2 linked regions of the Cricetulus griseus genome follow. The protein of the gene in region 2 interacts with the protein of the main gene of each other region in a biochemical or structural test. Links are inferred from orthologs where the notes say so. Each region holds a gene or a part of one and is shown on either strand. Other genes may lie near its edges.

What was found.
Region 1: the proteins of Tom1 (region 2) and Tollip form a complex in vitro, tested with the Homo sapiens proteins (3 studies listed by BioGRID and IntAct, with this or other methods). The link is inferred for Cricetulus griseus from reciprocal best matches to the Homo sapiens genes TOM1 and TOLLIP.

The regions. Positions count from the first base shown.
Region 1 is NC_048596.1:59,281,610-59,291,063, reverse strand, and holds the start of Tollip (toll-interacting protein), read right to left. Parts: upstream 6,282-9,454; 5' UTR 6,155-6,281; coding exon 6,122-6,154; intron 1-6,121. UniProt on the Homo sapiens protein: Component of the signaling pathway of IL-1 and Toll-like receptors. Inhibits cell activation by microbial products. Recruits IRAK1 to the IL-1 receptor complex. Inhibits IRAK1 phosphorylation and kinase activity.
Region 2 is NC_048596.1:150,804,808-150,814,156, reverse strand, and holds the start of Tom1 (target of Myb protein 1), read right to left. Parts: upstream 5,894-9,349; 5' UTR 5,788-5,893; coding exon 5,736-5,787; intron 1-5,735.

The sequences.
Region 1 (9,454 bases), about 92 Mb from region 2:
GACAAGAAACAATCTGGTTATACATCCAATACTTGCTGTCCTGGGAGGGAAAAGACAACCCTGACTGTTGCTGCAGGCCCCTGATGATTTCTCTAAATAAAGACACCTCATGCTACACTAAAGGAAGCCACCACTGTTAGCACAGTGAGGAATGCTTCAAGAGCAAAAGGTGAACAGGCATTGGTGCAAATTATATAAAAGTCAATGACCACACAGGAAAATACCACCAATAAACAGCTATTTTTAGTAAAGTTTTAAAATACATGGCTATTCATAAAATGTATTTTTGCCATATATTGGTGGAGGAAATATTTGATCACATGAAAAGGTATATTTTTATCACTGCTTAAAGACTTAGAAATAGTAAATGATAAATTCTGTTAACAGACTCACAATGGATCTTTTTATAGTTTTACTTAAATTGAGTCCAACACTAACAAATGACTTGAAACATGTAGGTTAAACAATTTCACTTCCAGGCACCAGACCCGTGGAAAAGCTGCAGGAGTGTAAGGCTAGTTATGCTCATTCCTTGGGGCCTGGGTAAAAGAAAGAGCCACCAAGCAATGTCTTACTTTCCTAGCCAGAAGCATCTGTGTGCCCCAGACTCATAGTTCTAAAAAAGAACAGGTTATTTCCATGTCCCTTAAAGAATGCAAGGAACCCCCAGAACCCTGTCCAAAAGAAGGAACCAGCAGGCAGGGCACACTGGGCTTCACCCTTGGCTCTGTGTAGCAATTGATGGCAAGTAAAAGTCGGAACAAGCAGACTAATCTAATGAATGAGGGCATACATGATACCCAATCCTTGCATCTGAGGCACACTGCCTATGAGATGGACTGAGAAGCAAGTTGTCTCCCCTAGGATTATCCAAAGGCTTTTGGTCTGCCCAGCGAGGAGAACCTGTCTGCTAGCATGTCTGGGACAATGAAGGAAAAGGCAAGAAGCTGCTAGTCTAGAGTTCAGAAAAAAAAAAAAAAAAAAAAAGATAGACAAGGACACAGTTATTTCAATGGGTGAGTGTCCACATGCGTGTGTGACTTGCATGTGTGTGTGCATATGTGTGAGGCAATGGCACCAGCAAGACTAGAGGGAGCAAGGGAGAATTCTAAAGATACACCAGCTCATAGTTTAGAGCATCTGTGGCAGCTAGGCAGAGATGGATCTGTTGCCTGGTGCCAAGGCCAGGATAGCCTTCCAGAGCTAGAGATCATATACACAAGAGTAGCTGATGCTGTGTCTCCCCAGTCACTACAGCCAGCCCTAATCCCTGCCTTCAACAGGTACACTGCAACTGCACAACCCACCTGTACCCAGCTCCTGTCTCTCTGGTGTCAAAGCAGAAATGGTATCTGAAAAGGATTTGATCACAGAAATAATCATGTTTTCTAAGAAATGAAAAATAACTCATAAGGACTTAGTAGTTCACTAGATCATGGTATTTCCCAAAGGCTGGGGTCTGGTGTACTCTCCATGCATAAACTTGGCACATCCTCACAAGCCCTGACAATAGTTCTATAAACAGTAACTGGCTCTCAGTCAGAACCGAAACTGCACTTAAAGGAATTCAGTGATTTACACTGAAACTCCAAAGAATGGAAGGGAAGTAAAATAGTGACTGGAATGACAGCAGGGCAGACTTACAGTGGCCTGAAAAGCTACTGCCCACTGCAACTCTTCATAGGACCTCCAGGAGCTACAGTGAAGGAATCTAAAAGATTCTTACTTGAAAGAAAGGTAAAGGGATCGTGACAACAGACACAAAAAGGATTGGGAAGAAATGACACATCTCAGATCTGAACAAGCATTGACTACATAGGAAAGTAGAGTCATCACATATGCACAACACCACCAGGTGGCCACCTGCCCACCACCAGCTATGGTCTTTGCATAGACTGGAAGAAACGGAGATGCAACCAACTTCAGGTCTGCAATACTGTGTGTAGAAATTCCTGGGGTAACTCCCTAGAAAAAAGAAACACACCATATCTTTACCAAACTTGTGAAAAATTTACTACTGAACTGAATTTTTAAAAAATCTATGCTTAGCGAATCAAAGCAATAATAGAAACATGTAGGACAAATAAACACCTAAAAGTGTTAAAAAAATATATGTATACATTTGTCCTATATAAAATAAATCTATCTAACAGATTCCACTACAAACTTGTACTTCTTAGTTTTGACTTTTAAGGATACAGCTGTATGCTGCTGTGGGTAGATCCCTCTAAAACATAACTATTTAATAAAATGTAAAGTCAAAAAATAAATGAAAGAAAGAAAAAAACTGTCAAATACTTTCTAAAAGGAAAAGTACTATCATACAAAGTAAAAGGCAAGAGGCCAGTGGAGGTCACCATCTGGTGGCAACAGCCCGATGCAGGAATGCTAGACTTGTACCCAGGCATAGCCTCACCTCAGAATCCATGTGGGTGCTGGGAATTAAACCCGGGTCCTTTGGAAGAGCAGCCACTATGCTTAACCATTAAAACATATCTCCAGCCCCAAGAGGGTGATTTTTTAATTTGATCCTATGTTCTGCACTTGGTAATTGGGTCTGTTGTTAAAGATAAGCTTTTCCCATCAGCCAGAGGTACCTGGGTTGTCCCTAAACAGTTTCTAAAGTAAGGCAAGATACAGGCTTCTTTCTTTCTAGTAATAAGAGGAAAGAGTTCACTTCTTTAGGGTATGTATTGGCTTTCTTTCTGAGTGTTACTGCATATTGATAGTTTTCAACCCAACTGTGTGAGTCAGCAGCCTCCGTGTCCATGCAACCTCACAGAGCAGAACCTGTGCAAGAGGTTGTGCCCACAGCTGGCCACTAGGCCTGTGTCCCTGGGTCCCTGGGAATGCCTGCTCTGGATTCTAAGGTAAGGCTATGCCTGGGTACAAGTCTAACATTCCTGCATTAGGCTATGGTCACCAGATGGTGACCTCCATGGGCACCAAGAATGCACAAGGTATATTTACATATACACAGACAAAATATTCTTAAACATAAAATAATGTTAAAATTTTTAAAAATCATCTTTTGTCATCTCTAATCAATTTAATGGCTCAACCACAATTACCAGGGAAGAACAGTACTGATGAGGTTCCAGACAAGCATGGACACTAAGGCCCACCCACAGAATGAGGAGGGGAAGAGCCAGAGCCAGTAGCTTTTGGCAAAGTTCTGGTTAGCCAGCATCTCAAGAAGAACAAGTTAGCACCTGTTGGACTCCACAGAACACATCTATAAAGGAGGACCTTCAAAATGCCACCCCTACATCTGCTGCAGCCTACAGCCAGCAAGACCTTCTGCATGCATCCCCACAAGAAGTAGGGTCCTTAAAGTCACTGGCCGGGTGTTGGTAGTGCACACCTTTAATCCCAGCTCTCGGGAGGAAGGGGCAGGCAGATCTCTGTGAGTTCCAGGCCAGCTTGGTCTACAGATCGAGTTCCAGGACATGCTCTAAAGCTACAGAGAAACCCTGTCTCGGACCCCCCCACCCCCCCACCCCACCCCCCGCAAAAAAAAAAAAAAAAAAAAAACCACTACTGTAGGAAAGGAGCAGGTGTGCAGACTGGGTAGCAAAAGGGGTAATTTCAAAATACCAGTATTTTCAAAAGTGAGATGGCTATGAAAGATTGTAGTGCCCTATAGTGGCTATTAAACAAAACAAAACAAAACAAAACAAAAAAAACAAAACACAAAAAAAAAACGTAAAATACCAAATGTCCCAGGGAAAAACTTATTCCTTCACAATTATGTGGGTTCTGGCTCTCCTCCTCATACTTGCCCCATCCCAAACCCTCAACCAAGAATAGAGAACCCTCCTAGCCCAGATGAGAGTGTCCTCAGCCTTCTATAGCCTCCCAAGACACTGTCAGTCCTTCCCCACTCATCAGAGGTGAAGGTCAGCTATAGAGACAACTGCCCAAGCCTAGTCCAGGCTCCTGGGAAGGGGACTCTGAACCATAGCCTAACCCCCTGCTGCGGTTACAAAAAGAAGGCTGCCAATAGTACCCAGTACTGACCAAATGTGTACTTCTGTTTATCTTTACAGCTCCACAACCCTGAGTATGACATGAATAGTAGGGAAGAACTACCACACTCTTGACAGTTCTACTAGACCCTGACAACTGGCTAAAAAAACCTTTGCAAATATTAATGAATCCAGAGGCATATAGGTAGATCATTCTAGGTGAAGCAGCCAGTGAAAAGCTGAAAACTGTAAAAGGCATGCACTCTAAGAAACAGCACTTACCAGATCAAGTTCAAGATCTTCTAGTCTTTAAGAGACCCTGGCCATAACCCATTCACTCCTCCCACACCAAGTCCATACCTTTCTGTTTTCAATGATTAAGAGCACAGACCTGATGGTGACTGTTATTTTCTGGCTTTATATGGGTCACCATGCATAGCTGTGTCCCTGTGCTCCACACTTTTGACTCAGTGTCCAATTGCTCTAAATACTGTGGCCAATAATACATCCCAAGCAAAGTCTAAGATATCTGTCACTGATGACAATTTCTTAGAGTCCAGACACAATATTACAAGTCATCAAGAGTGCTCCTAAAAAACCATTCAGCTGTCTATGTTTATTTATAAGACTCTGTGGTCCCTAGAACACTGGGCAAGTAGAAAGATCAAGCGTCAGGACTTGACTCCACAGATTGCGCTAGTATGAATGTCACCCGACACTCCCAATTACTCATCACAGCGTGGGTTACCCCAGCTCTATACACACAGCACCAGAGTTTCCCTCAGCAACACGGGAGGACACCTTCTTACTCAATTAATGACGGACATTAAGCTCACCATCAGATGAATTCAAATGCAGTCCAGCCACAGAAGTAAAGGCACTCTCAGACACACAGTAAGGAACGGTCCACTCTGCCTGGCCCTGTGTCCACTTGGCAGGAGATAGGAAAAGAGCAAAGTACTGGCTCCCTTCCTCTTCTGTCAGCCACTAGCAATCTTCTGTAGTTTGGTGAGACACAGTGAGGATGAAGAAGGGTTGCTGAACATGAAGGTAACCCCAACTCTGGTCAGGAAGTCTGGCTTTAAAGCCCTCCAAAAAAGCACCCTGCCTGGGGCTTTCTTCAAAGTCAGAAAATCAGTCATCTACCCCAATGATTTATCTGTTACACACACACACACACACACACACACACACACACACACACACACACACCTGTCAACACCAAGCTGTCAGGGTGAGGGACCTGGGAAACCAAAGGCTTTGCAGACACTTTCAATAACTTCAGGGAAAAGACAATGGAGCCATCAGAACTGTGTTCTACACACATAACCACTGTTAGCTAACAACATCCAACTCATATCAGTCTCAGAGAACTACTGGGAGGACATCCACACTAGAGGTAGGAGAGACAGGTAGTGTTGTGGACCCCAAGACAACCCTTAGGAGCCATCACTGTTGGTTTTCCACGTTTTCTGCTCCCTTCTCCTCATTTATAGATGAACAACTGAGACTTGGAAAGGTAGCCACTAACCGGGCTCAAGAGGTAGCAACCCTGTTCTCTATAGGAGCAGGGAGAGGAAGAAACTGACACAACTAAGAGCTGATTACAAAGTGGGATCTTTCACCATCTCTGAAACATCAGAGGAGTGTCAGGCCCCACTCCTCTGAGAGATCATGGGAGCCAAGACTATCAGTTTGGGAAATTAACAGGGTCAGGACCACTCTCCATTTGGGGAACCAAGCGTCAGGGCCCATGTCCATCTGAGAGACCAAGGGGTTGGTATACATCTGGGGAAGTAAGGGGTTCGGGACCCTTTTTCCACCCGGGGAACTAAGGGGAGTCGGGGTCCCTCTCAGTATGGGGAACCAATGGGGTCACGTTCCTCTGTGTGGAGGACTAAGGGATTCAGGGCCCCTCTAGGGATTCAGGGGTTTCAGGGCCCGTGGGCATCCAAAGAACCATCAAGCTCTGCCTTCTTCCACCCGCGAGACCCTCAGGACCAGAGTCGCTACTCCGTTTGGGTACCCGAAGGTGGGACCCGCACAGCTCCGGGACGGCCGAGCAACTCGCGAGGGGCCCCACGAGGGGCTGACAAGAGGAGCCCGATCTCAGGCTGCGTTGCCCCAGTCCGGCCCTCGCCCAGTGGACTCACCGGCCCGCGCTGCGTGCTGACGGTGGTCGCCATGATGTTACGGCGACCCTGTGCCTCACCGACCGCACAGAGACCCGCCGGGAGAGTTCTTCCGCCCCCACCTCAACCTGCGTCGCCGACCGTTGTCCCGCGAGGCAATCTGCGCCTCAGTCAGCTGACAGTCACCCCGCCCCGCCCCACCCCGGCATTCCCAAGGCGCAGCCGCTTCGCAATGGCTAATCCCGCCCCTTCCGGCTAATCCGCGCATGCGTGCAAAGGGCTGGGGTGAGGGCGGGTTAAGTCTCCCGTGTACGCCTGCGCGGTGGTCACTCCTGTAGTACGGTAAGCCCTTAAAATGGCTGCCAGGCTGTCTGCGCATGCCTAAACCTGAGTGTTTCTCGGCGTGAGCCAGTCTGTTGACCCAGGACCAGGCACCCGAAACATGGATGTTTATCTCAACTCCGTCAAGTCGTCACAACGTCCAGTCACCTGGCTGGAGATAGCTAGGAGACCACCACCTGCAAGGTGCCTGATCCGCTTGAAGAAAGGAGAAAACTGATGTTTGGCAGCTTGAGGAGAAAGCAGATGGCAGTAAAACCAGTTACCCTCAAGCCCTTGAATTACTTCAAAATGCTGTGGGAGGAAGAACATTTATATTTAAATGTTAAAAAAAGAAGCCAAGCTGAAGGAGAGGCAAGAGTGGGCTGGAACACTTCCACCAGCCTTGAATTTGCCAAATGAATGGAAGAGATGTCCCTAGGAAACCCAGGCCACCCACTCTTGCCTCTTCAGAGCGCTCTCTTCAGAAGGACCTTTGGCCAGATAGACTCAATGTAGTTCCTTTAAGTTTATCCTGTGGTGGCCCCAGATCTGCAGATCTCTTTCGCTTGTGCTGCAGTAGACTTGGTACTGCCCAGCACCAAATGTACTCCTAGTACATTTCTTCACTCACACTGTGTTCTATTGTGTTCCCTTCATCTCTAAGACCTCATCTTCTACCTCCATTACCAGTCTCTGCCTTGATAGCACATGGGACTGCATCTGGGCTCTGTCCCTGGATGCAGCTGTCTATCCAGTTCTCACTGGTCTGCAGCTGATGAAGCTAAGGCAGACCAGGACATAAGACTCGACACCCAATATGGCAGACAATTTATAAGAGACCCATGATCCCTTCCTGGGGTTCACATCCCTATACAATCCTTTCCCCTTGGTTATAGACAAAACCTCTGAATTGTGTCTAAAAATGCACCGGGCATCCTGCAAGTTGTGTAAGATTGTATCTGGACAGCAGACTAGGAACTTCTTGTGACTAAGACCTGCTAAAAATGATTGGGTTTGAGATGTTCACACATATGCCCTTTAATGGATTCCCAAATCCCTCAATATTAAAGAGGTAAACAAACAAACAAAACAAGCAACAAAACCAGGGAGAATTGTTACTGAGGAAAAACTTTATCACATAAAATTCCCCAGTAAGTCCCCAAAGTCTGTTCAAGTGGCATAGTCTGTCAAAGCAGAATCACAGCATTTGCTCTCTGGTGGTGGTCACATGGTACATAACCTTGTTTCTACTAGATTTGCTGTAGATAGCAGAAGTTCTGGTGTATGTGGGCTGTGATAGAATTTGACTAGGTTACTTTGCAGAAACTTGAAAGCTACCTGTTGTGAATACTGACTCTCCACTCAGTGGAGAGATGTTATGAGTAGCAGAAGACAGATGAAAGACACCTCTGTCTTCATCATCTTGTATTTATCACCCTTGCTGCCTTCACTCTTGACTTAGATTTGTGGTGCTTTTCTACTGATATGATAAGTCAAGGGCAACTTAAGGGAGAATTAATTTTGGATTTATGGTTTCAGAGGGTTAGGGTCCATGATGGTGGAGCAATACAGCTGTCTGTGCTCAAAAAGTAAAGCATTCACTTGTCCATTTGCACTCAAAATGGAGCCAAATGCTGATTGTAAATGGAGTCACTTGGGGAACAGCCTGAAAGCCAATGTTCCACACAATATAGGGTTGCTTAGGGCACATAGCCTGCTGTCCCCAATGTGGTATTCTGCTGAACATGAGCAAGTTAGCTGAGCAAGGCCACTCTGACCATGAGGTAATAACATGAGAATAATCGGTCTCAATATTGTCTGTGCTTTTTTATTTCTATTTTTTGTCAACTTGACAGAAGCTAAAGTCATAATGGGAAGAGGAGCCCCTCAACTGAGAAAATACTTCCATCAGGCCAATCTGAGGAACATTTTCTTGATTAATGACTGATAGTGTATGGGATGGGTCAGCCCACTGTGGATAAGTCCTAGGTTAGATAAGAAAGAAAACTTAGCAATCCATGGAAAACAAGCCGGTAAGCAATGTTCCTCCATGGCCTTTGCTTCAGTTCCTGCCTTCAGGTCCCTGCCCTGCTTCAGTACCTAACTTGACTTCCCTCAATATTGGAATATGATTGGGACATATAAACCAAACAAATCCTTTCCTTCTTTGGTTGCTTTTGTCATAGTGTTTATCACAGCAATAGAAAGTAATCTAGGACACACGTCAAGCCAAATAAGCAGGTCTTTCATCCCAACTAGTGTTGACAGTCATGGAGTCAGACCAGCCTCAGTATCATAGTTTCTTTTTTTTTCAAGACAGGGTTTCTCTATGTAGCTCTGACTGTCCTAAAACTCATTCTATAGACAAGGCTGGCCTTGAACTCAGAGATCCTCCTGAGTGCTGGGATTAAAGGCGTGTGCTAACACTGTCTGCCTCATTCTTATTTTTACATGAGAATTTCTAGAAGTCTAATTTAGACTTACTTCTGATTCCTAATAGCATCCAACCCAGAGGAAAATCCCACTTTGCAAACCCTCTCCCATAAGTGCTGATACTGTCTTTATTGGGAAAAGAATAATCTTTATGTTGCACAAAGGAACCCATAAACAAAGTGAAAGAATTTGTCAAGGTGATTTCTTTTTTCAAAAAAGAGTGTGCCAGACCCCTAACACGGATATTGAGCACACTTAACCTTCTGTCTTTTATCCCTGACATAGGGATTATTCCATTGGGGGAGCTCAACTTCACATTCTGATGCCATGGACTAATAGATGCAGAGAGGAAAGGGGAAGTTTGGGGAATAATGAACTTTTACTAGGATAACTACTTTTGGCATAAAAGAGTTTTTCATATCTTTGTTATTTGTCATATTTTATTTATTTTGTGTCTGCACATGCACTGGGTCCATAGAGGGGGAGGGGAAGGAGTAAGTTACTTCTGGAAGAGGAGGTCCTAGCCAGCTGAGCTGCAATGCAGAGATAAGAGGACTCTTGTTGAGCCACCTGAAAGTTATTTAGAGAGCTCCAGGATTG
Region 2 (9,349 bases):
ACCTCACAGAGGGTATTGCTTTCCTCAGGCCACATTTTTCAAGTTGATGTAACTAATAAGAATTCCTTGCTGAGAAACTTTTGTTTATACAAAGGAGAATTTACTAAACTGTTCAGACAGGAGGGAGTAAGACCATGCAAGAAATGAGTACTGGGTGACATTCTCTACCCCACTCGTGATTGTGCAAGACGTTTAGACAGACTGGGTACAGGAGGTGGAGAGGGTGCTGGGAACAGTTAGAGTTCAGAGGAATGAGAAAGGCTAGAGAGATAATTGTGTTGGTTACATGCTTGCTGTTCTTATTTAGACCCAGTTTCCAGTCCCCAGCACCATGTAAGAAGCCAGGTGGGTGGTGTGTACCTGCAATAGCAACACTGGGGAGGCAGAGACAGGATACCAAGGAGCTGCTGGACAGGTAGTCTTGCTGAATTGGTGTGCTTCAGTGAGAGCCACTCTCAAAAAAGATGAAGAGCAGTTGAGGAAGACACTCAACACTGACGTCTGACTTCCACATGTATTCATAAAAATGCACAAGAAACTGCACACACATGTGCATGCATGTACCATGCAACACACACATACAAAATAAAAGAGAAATGGAAGAGTAGAAGAGTGTGAGAGAGCATACAAATATCAGTGGGCTCATTGATGTTAGCTTGCATTCATATGATTATAGAGGCGTAGCAGATCCAAAATCTCCAGCCAAATGAGAATCAGTGACAGATGTGTCTTCTGGCAGTTTCCCTTGCTCTGGGGATGTCAGTTTTTCCAGGAAAGTCTTCAACTGATTGGGTAAGGATCATCCACACTGTAGAGGGTAGTCTGTGCCTGTCATGGTCTATTATTTCATTATTAATCTCATTGAAAATTTACCTTCACCAGGCTGGTGAGATGGCTCAGTGAGTAAAGGTGGCTGCTGTCATAACTTCATGGACATAAATGTGAAGGATAGGGCTAAATGAGTGAGTGAGCCAATTACAGGAAAACATCATGAAAATAATAATAAAGGAGGCATGCAGATACAAAAGACTAAAAGGTGGTAGATGAATGTGGCAGTTGAGAGCACTGGACCTCCCTTCATCAGAGGGTAAGCGTTAACGTGTCCTGAATCCCCAGCCTCCTTCTGAAGTGACAGCCCCAAGATAGTTCTATATTGAGGACTTTAGTTTAGCTGCTCAAGCATCACCCCTTAAGAGCAGAAATGTAGAACTTTACTCTTATTTCTCAGAGCTCCATGTAGGAACAAAACCTATTCACCAGCTCAGTCCACACAGTCAGGCTGAGCTTTATCCCCAGGAGAGCTGGCTCCATCCTACAGCCTGAAACCTGACCTGCTGTGAATGCCCTGCCGCCCAGCCACCCAGCCAGTGACTGTTCACATCACAGGGACACAAGGACTAACACAAAAGCCGCCCTGGAGTCTGGGCCCTGCATTGTTACCTTAGCTCCGTCACCAAGTATGCCCAGAACAGTGATACCACCAATGAGAGTCCCCAGCTGTGGACTCCTCTTGCCTGGCAGGCACCAGTCCAAGTGCTTCAAATGCCACACATGACACAGCAATCCCACCTGACAGGTGCTATTATTAGCCTCCTTATACAGATGAAGGACCAGAAGATAGTGAGGTTAATAACCTACTCCAGGACACAGAGCTAGTATTTTGATTCAAGGTCACCTTGGCCTTTTACTAGTATTTGTCCAGCCAGGGCATAGCCCTATGTAGACTAAGTCTCACTCCATGGAACAGGCTGGCCTGGACCGCACAGAGATTTGTCTGCCTCTGCCTCCTGAGTGCGGCATGAAAGGCATGCAACACCACACCGACAACAATAATACTTAATGGCACATGGAAATGACATAAACTCAAATTCTACAGCCCACAGTTTTATTGGAGCATGGCCACACCCATGTATTTACCTATTGTCTCTGGCTGCTCTTATGCAATAATGGCCTTGTTGAAGTATTTAACAGAGACCATATGGCCTTCCTAAGCCTTGAGGACTGACTTTGTGGCCCTTTGCAGAGTAAGCCTGCTCTAGTCCACCCTAACAGCCAATGCAAGAGTCCTCCAAGGCAACTTCTCCTTTGACCTTTACCTTTCATCAAGAGGTAGCAGGGGATCTCATTATGAACAAGGTAACTGGCACACCTCTGACAGGTCCAGAGTTGGCTGCTTAGCCCAGCACTGACTTTGTAACACCACACTGCCCCTCTGTGCCTTGTAGTACGAACTGTTCCCCATTTCAATTACGTTTCAGCTGCTGTTCAACTGTCTTTGGGGAAGGGAGGAAGTGGGGCACCTCTGTGTTTCATTACAGATGGGGATAGAAGATAGTCAGCAGTAGACAGTGACTGCCCAACATCTACAACATGGCCTAGCCTGTGTGTTTCTAGCCTATCTTCCCCAAAGGAACCTCAGAGCCCTGATGCTGGCCATTCATTTCTGATTTCTGTCCATGGGCCTATGGGTAGGCTTTGGGAATCCAAGGACAGCTCTACCCTCTGGTGTGTGTGTGTATGTGTGTGTGTGTGTGTGTGTGTGTGTGTGTGTGTGTGTGTGTGTGTGTGTGTGTCCTCTTCCCTCCCCATTTCCTCACATGGTATGGCTCACTCACTATGTTCTCCCTTTAGTCTATAAAAAACTTTCTCCTCCACCACACCTAGGAGCAGCTACATCCTTCTTTTTTTCTTTTTTCACAATCTGCTAGGTGCTAAGGCACCAGGAAAGGAAGGGATAGCTCCTGATCTCAAGTCAAGCCTAGCCTGAGGGCAGACTTGCAGGGATGGTGGCACATCTGTGTGACGGAGGTGGAAACAGTAAATGATGGTGAGATAGCAGGCGCTGGTGTTCCCTATTCCCTACACCCTCTCGCTGTGCAGGCACTCTCCGGGGAATTGGCATTTTTTACAACCACTCTCAAGCAGAAGAGTCGAAGCATACAAACTGAAGTTCTCAGAAAAGCTACTTCTGTGTTGAAGATGTTAGAAGGCTGACTGACAACAACTTTGTGATTGTGGAGAGTGGAAATGTTGCAGATCTTGAGACAAATGACCTTGCTTTAGACCCTTTATTAAGCATGTATTGCTCATCTCCGAGTTGTGATCTAACAAGTCTGTGACTATCAGGCAACACTTTTGGAATAAGTTAATAGAAAACTAGTGTCCACCAACCCAAGGGCTAGGAATGCCATCAGCTAGCACCTGAGAAGTGCAGCATAGATATTCGTGCTTTGCTGTATCCCAATTGCCTGATTTCTGGCTTACTTTTGTTTTCTGTAGCTACGAAAACATCATGAAACCATTTCCCATACTGGATCATGTTATTTGGGGTGATAGGAATCTGTGTTCCTGGGTCACAGCAATTCATATTTGGCTCAGGGATAAACTATCTCTGATTTCCCTTGAGGTGAGAGCTGTTTTGTGCCTACTGGAAGCAGAGTGACAAGAGAACAAAAGAGCAGCAATTGGAGCTGGAGTTAGGAAAGGCCGCAGGGAAGAGGTGATGGTGCCCAGTGCTCTAAGGGATGAGCCCAGCTCCTCCCAGAAGCAGACATTGTAGGCAGTGAGACCAGCAAGCATCAGGTGTATATGAATTGTGAGGACAGTGACACTGGGCCCTGATTAGCACCATTTAGTGATTGCTGTTCTCTAGTATGCCAATCATACAAGATTCTACTCTCAGGGCATGAAGCCAGACCTGAGAAGACACCATTTTACTCCTGTAGCAAAGGGAGGGGGGAGGGTCTGAATTACAGGAATGCAAGCACCTAAAACCTGGCCATCGATCATCACAGCCAGCCAGGCCCATTGGCATAGGGACAAGGTCTCTGATACTTGGAAGCTGATCAGGGAGGACTGCTTGGGTCCATAAGTTCCAGGCCAACCTGGGCAACAACTGAGACTCTATCTCAGACAGACAGATACATACCCCTTTCAATCTCCAGTACTTCTGTCTCTCTATACATGGAAGACTATGGAACACTGATATTGTTCAAGGTAGGGCTCTCTATGTAGTCCAGGCTGGACTTGAACTGAAAATAGTCCCACTTCAGCCTCCTGAGGGCTGGAATTATAGGCATGCTCCACCACACTGGGCTCTTTTACAGCCTCTTTAGTAGCCCTGGAAGGCTCATTTCAGTTGTGCTATCAATTCACTGGGTTTTTGGGTGAGTCTCAGTCTTCACCACCTTCCCTTTGTAGAACTCAATCCCCTCCCTTCAGTAACAGGACTTTGCAGACTGGTATTTTTTGTTTTGAATCAGGGTCTTATTCTGCAGCTCCATGCTGCCCTGAAACTCATTTTGTAGTCCAGGTAGCCTGAGACTTGGTGGCAATCCTCCTGTCTTAGTCTACCAAGTGCTAGGATTACAGGTGTGAGCCACCGCTTCTGGTGGCTCACACCTGTAAAATTTGTGGTCTCCTAGCCAATTGCAAAGAGCATTACTGGGAACTCCACAGATGCCAGTCTGAATCTGATGGGTCCAGCCAATTCTGACATAAAAAAGGCAGAGGGTCCAGTTGTGAGATGTAGTTAGCACTGAGGTATTGATATAGCACCATTCTGTCTGTCCAGAAGTATTTCTTGCCCAAGGAAGGCAACCTTTCAGGGTAGGAAGAGGTGTTGAGTTCTGAACAACTGATATGCACACTGAGCCTAAATAAGCACATCCAGAAAGTCTCAGGACTTTGTGGTTGGCTTTGAAGAATGGAATAATTAGCTTGTTTTTACATAGGAAGTTTGTGAAGAGGGTTGTCTTCTCTTTCCAGGTCACAAACGAGGACTCAAAGATGGGGCTTTTGCGAAGCACCTGGGTTTCAGGCACTAGCAATGCCCTGCAGAGAACTGATGAGAACCTCCAAACTTACAGCAGTGGCGGTTACAACACAAAGCTGGGCTAACGACTTCGGGGAAGCCTTGGCAGGAAGAATGCAAAGAATGCCTTAACTAAAAGATCCAGCCTGTTCAGTCTGGATCCAAGGAGAAAAGCCACCAAAAAGAATTACACAATGCTGTCGGGACCCTTCAGACAAGAAGAGGGGTCACACCCAGACCACCCATCCCTGGAGAAATGTCGCCACCTGAGTAGGTACTGGGAACCGGCACTTTCCCACGGGCTCCAGCCCCACAAGGTGGTACCACAGTGACAATGACAAGCATTAGCCATGTGTCAGGCAGCATCCTCAGTGCCTTGCGCTTAATAATGCATGTAATGATCAAACAACCCCAGGAAGGCCGGGCCACCGTCCCTTAACTACGGTCGAGGCGACGTCACACAAACCCGAGTCTCCCGACAGCGGGGACAGAGGCGTGGCCGAGCCCAGACACCTCAGGAGTCCCGGAATGTGAGGGGCCGGTGACGCGGCGAATGACCTGAGCGCGGCCAACCCGGGAGGGACCTTCGGCCTGCCCGAGCCTGGCGGCGGCGGGGCCCCACACCGGCTCACCACAGCAGTCCCTTTAACCTAAACTTTCTCCTTCTACTCCGGACCCCAGCACGCGCGCATTGGCTGAGCCACATCCGCCTCCTCTCCCTGCCTATTGGTCACCCTCAGCATCAATCCCCACACGAGGCTTCTGACTGGTCCGCAATCTTGTCAATCAGGTGAAACACAGGTGGGGCGGAGCCAAGAGCGCCGCGCCAGCCTCGCCGTCTGCCTCCCTCCTCCAAGGACTCCGACAGGTCCCCGGCCAGAGCTAGACAGGGGCGCGGCTGCGCGCGGCTCCCGGGACTCACCGATGCGTTGTCCCACCGGAGAGCTGAACGGGTTTCCCAGGAGAAAGTCCATTGCCGCAGCTACCGCTGCCACCAGCTCCCAGAATCAGGTGACAGCAACCGCCGGCGCCGCCGACCCGTCACGTGACCCGCTGGCCGGCCCGCGGGGCGGCGGCTCTGGAGCACAGCCCCGAGGCCCCGCCCTCCAGGCCACGCCCCTGAAAGGCCTCAGTTCACTCTGCGGCGGGGCCTAGAAGTCTTCACATCCGGAAACTGGGTCTCTGGCCAGGGAAAGACTTGGATCAAGTTACACAAACTCAAGCCCAGGCTGGTAGCAGGGTCTTAGCCTTTAGTCCTGGGGACGTAGCCCTGAGAGTAACAGCCTCCTTGACTTTTTGATGTCTCCCTGCTCCACGAGCCACCTGTGGGTAGCCCAGAGGAGGCAAGGGTCTGGACTTGTGCTCTCTTAAGGCAGCGAATGAACTCCATCTATGTCCAGGGCAGTTCTACTTGGCAAATGGGGACAGTGCTTTTTCTGCATCTGTTTCCCTCAGTGGTAAAGGGGGACACTATCCATAACGCTTTGAGAGTATTAAGATGACATGCAAATTGTTCAGTAATGGGCATTCAATGACGGTGATTTCTTCTTTGACTTATCCTTATAAGACATGTTTTAATTCTCTTTAGTGTGTGTGTGTCATGGTGAATACAGAGGTCAAAAATCACAACATGCAGCAATCCTCATTATGTAGGTCTCACAGACTAAACATGGCAGCTAGTACCTGTGAACCATCTCACTCCTCATACTCTGCAGCCTTTTTTTTTTTTTTTTTTAATATATACTCTCCCTAGGCTAGTCTCAAATTCAGATCTCCTGAGTGTTGGAATTACAGTCGTGATCATTAAAACCCAGCCTTTAACACCAGTTTTATTTTGTTACTTAAATTTTTTTAAAGATTTATTTATTATGTATACAGCGTTCTGACTGCAAGCCAGAAGAGGGCACCAGATCTTGACAGATGGTTGTGAGTCACCATGTGGTTGCTGAAAATTGAACTCAAGACCTCTGGAAGAACAGCCAATGGTCCCCAGCCCCCACTACTTATACTTTTTAACATGTTGTATTCTATTAACTTTTTTTAAATCATGAAAGGTCAAATTTCCACATATTTAATGTTCATAATATTACCAAACATTCACTTTGGGCCAGCTGGCTATAGACTCAGAGACAGCGAGTCTTTTTTTTTTTCCCCTTCAGACAAGACTCTGGAAGCTCCTGGGACATGGACTATATATTTTCAGCACAGGATTTTCATGCAACCCTGACAAAATACTGATGGATACTTGATTTAAGCCAATACCATAATGTATAGGGTTTCACTGGCCAAGCATTAGAGCCACAATTTATCAGGTTCTCTAGTTTTACAATATGCAAATGATACTTGGGAGCCTGAGACCCAGGATGGGTAAGAATATGAAAACTTGACCTTTATTCCAGGTTTTGGCTTAAAACTTTTTAAATATAAATTATGTGTATGTGTGTGTATCTGTGTGTGTGTATGTATTTGTGTGCTGATGCCTAAGGAGGCTCGAGAGGGTGCCTGATCCTCTGGAGCTGGGCTTTAGCTTGGGTCCTCTGCAAGAGCAGGCAGTATTCTTAACCACTGAACCATCTCTTCAGCTCCTGACCTCTTTTATCGAAAAATTAAGAGTAGAACAGAGTGAATAACAGTTTTATAATTTTATAGCAACTATGAGTAACCCAAGGGAAAAGACAGCTAAGGCTACCACAAATATTAAAAATGAGATCTTTAATATAAGTACAAAATTTTGTTTTTTATACAACTGTAAGATTTGGATCAAACCACTAGGATTTATTTAAAAAACAAAATAAAACAATGATATAAAAACAGCAAGAAGGCCTGAATCCAAAGTTTTTCTTCTAATAGTACCAAATACCACAAGTTACAGATTATTATACAAATGTGTACAAATCTTTAATACAAATACAACAGGGCTAGGTTTCAGAGGAAAATGAACACGAAAAAGCCGGTTATCACCAGGAGTTCACTGCTGTCTGTAGCAATGACAACAGAGGACTGGCTGCTTCCTGCACTATGTGTGCCTTCTTGGCCTCTCCTTCACACCCTGTTTCTTAAAGGAAACTTCTGCAGGTTCAAATGAGATTCTGACCTGTTAGCTGAAATTTAAATTTTGGTTCTTCTTGATTCAGTTCCCACATATTCCTGTTTCTTTCTCCATTTCCCAGAATACATCTCAACACTGCTCTGAACTGAGAAAGACTGGATGTCCAGAACGCCTGTGAGGCGCTAAGCTATGAAACACAGTGAGGCTATATGGGAAGGAATTAAACAGGATGGCAGCTGACTACATGGTCCCCAAAGCTTACTGTGATGCTGCCTTGTCCCATTTAGGCCAGAGGGAGAAAGCATGGTTACCTCAGCATGGTTTTGGCAGGGAAGGGAATCTCACACCAAGCTTCCAAACAACTCTGGAGTGCTCAACTATCTTTTAATGGGGAAGCAGGTCTTTGGGAATAAGGGCAGTTGGGAATTGTGACATTTCTTTCTACTTCACTTTGCTAACATTATTGAGGGCCATGAAGCTCCTTTCTGAGTCATAACACCTTAACATATGGATGACCTGGAGCTTTTAGACAGACACGAAGAAATGACAAGTCTGTATGCTCCACATGCTACTGCTGGTGGAGGCTTGTTATTAAATTATATATACAGAAATTTACAGGATAAATTAAAATCTAAAAATTCTAAAGAGTTAAATACACATAATTAAAATATATGCTCACATACACACATAGATAACCCCATTGAGAACCGAGGGTTCCTTTGTGATCCACATGTGTGAGGAATGCAGAGCACAATCTGCCCATCAGGGGAACCAGAGCTGAACTAAGAAGCTGCAGAATCTCTCAGGATTTGGTGGCCAACCAACAAAACAAAAGATACCAGCTTTGGTTTTTATAGACCAAGCCTTCTTGGCCAGCCAATGTAGGCTCAAAGGTGGCACCAACAGCTTTGGCCTCTCCAAGCTATTTCTCTGCTGCCAAGAATCACATAACTAAGGCTATCAGTGGTATCAATGACTCTGTGGTAACAATGGTTACAATAAAATTGGAGACACAGATACCTGTTTAGTAGAAATGGAATGAGTCCCCTATTAGTCCGCCTAAGCCATCTCTACCTCCCCTCAGGTCACTTTGAGTCAAATAGTTTGTAGTCAGCTGGTCTCCTCCCATAATCTTTACTATATTTCCAATTATAAGACAGGTAAGGCAAATGGTCAGTGATGGGTCTGGAGGTACAACCAAGCTTGGGGGAAAAAAAATCACATTTTAGCTGTCTATAACGAGATACACATGGCACCCAGAATAAGCCCCTAGTCCCCAAATTACACTGATTTTTTAAGGCAGATTTTTTTTCACACAAAAAAATAATCCCAAACCCACATTCATGCCAAAGTTTCCTTTTCAGCTAAACCCTTGCCATTTCATAAAATTATTAAAAGCAAAGTAGTTATAATCCTATGTATATACTGTACATTATATATATGTATAGATAGATACAAAAATTAAAAACCTACACCCAGAGATCAGT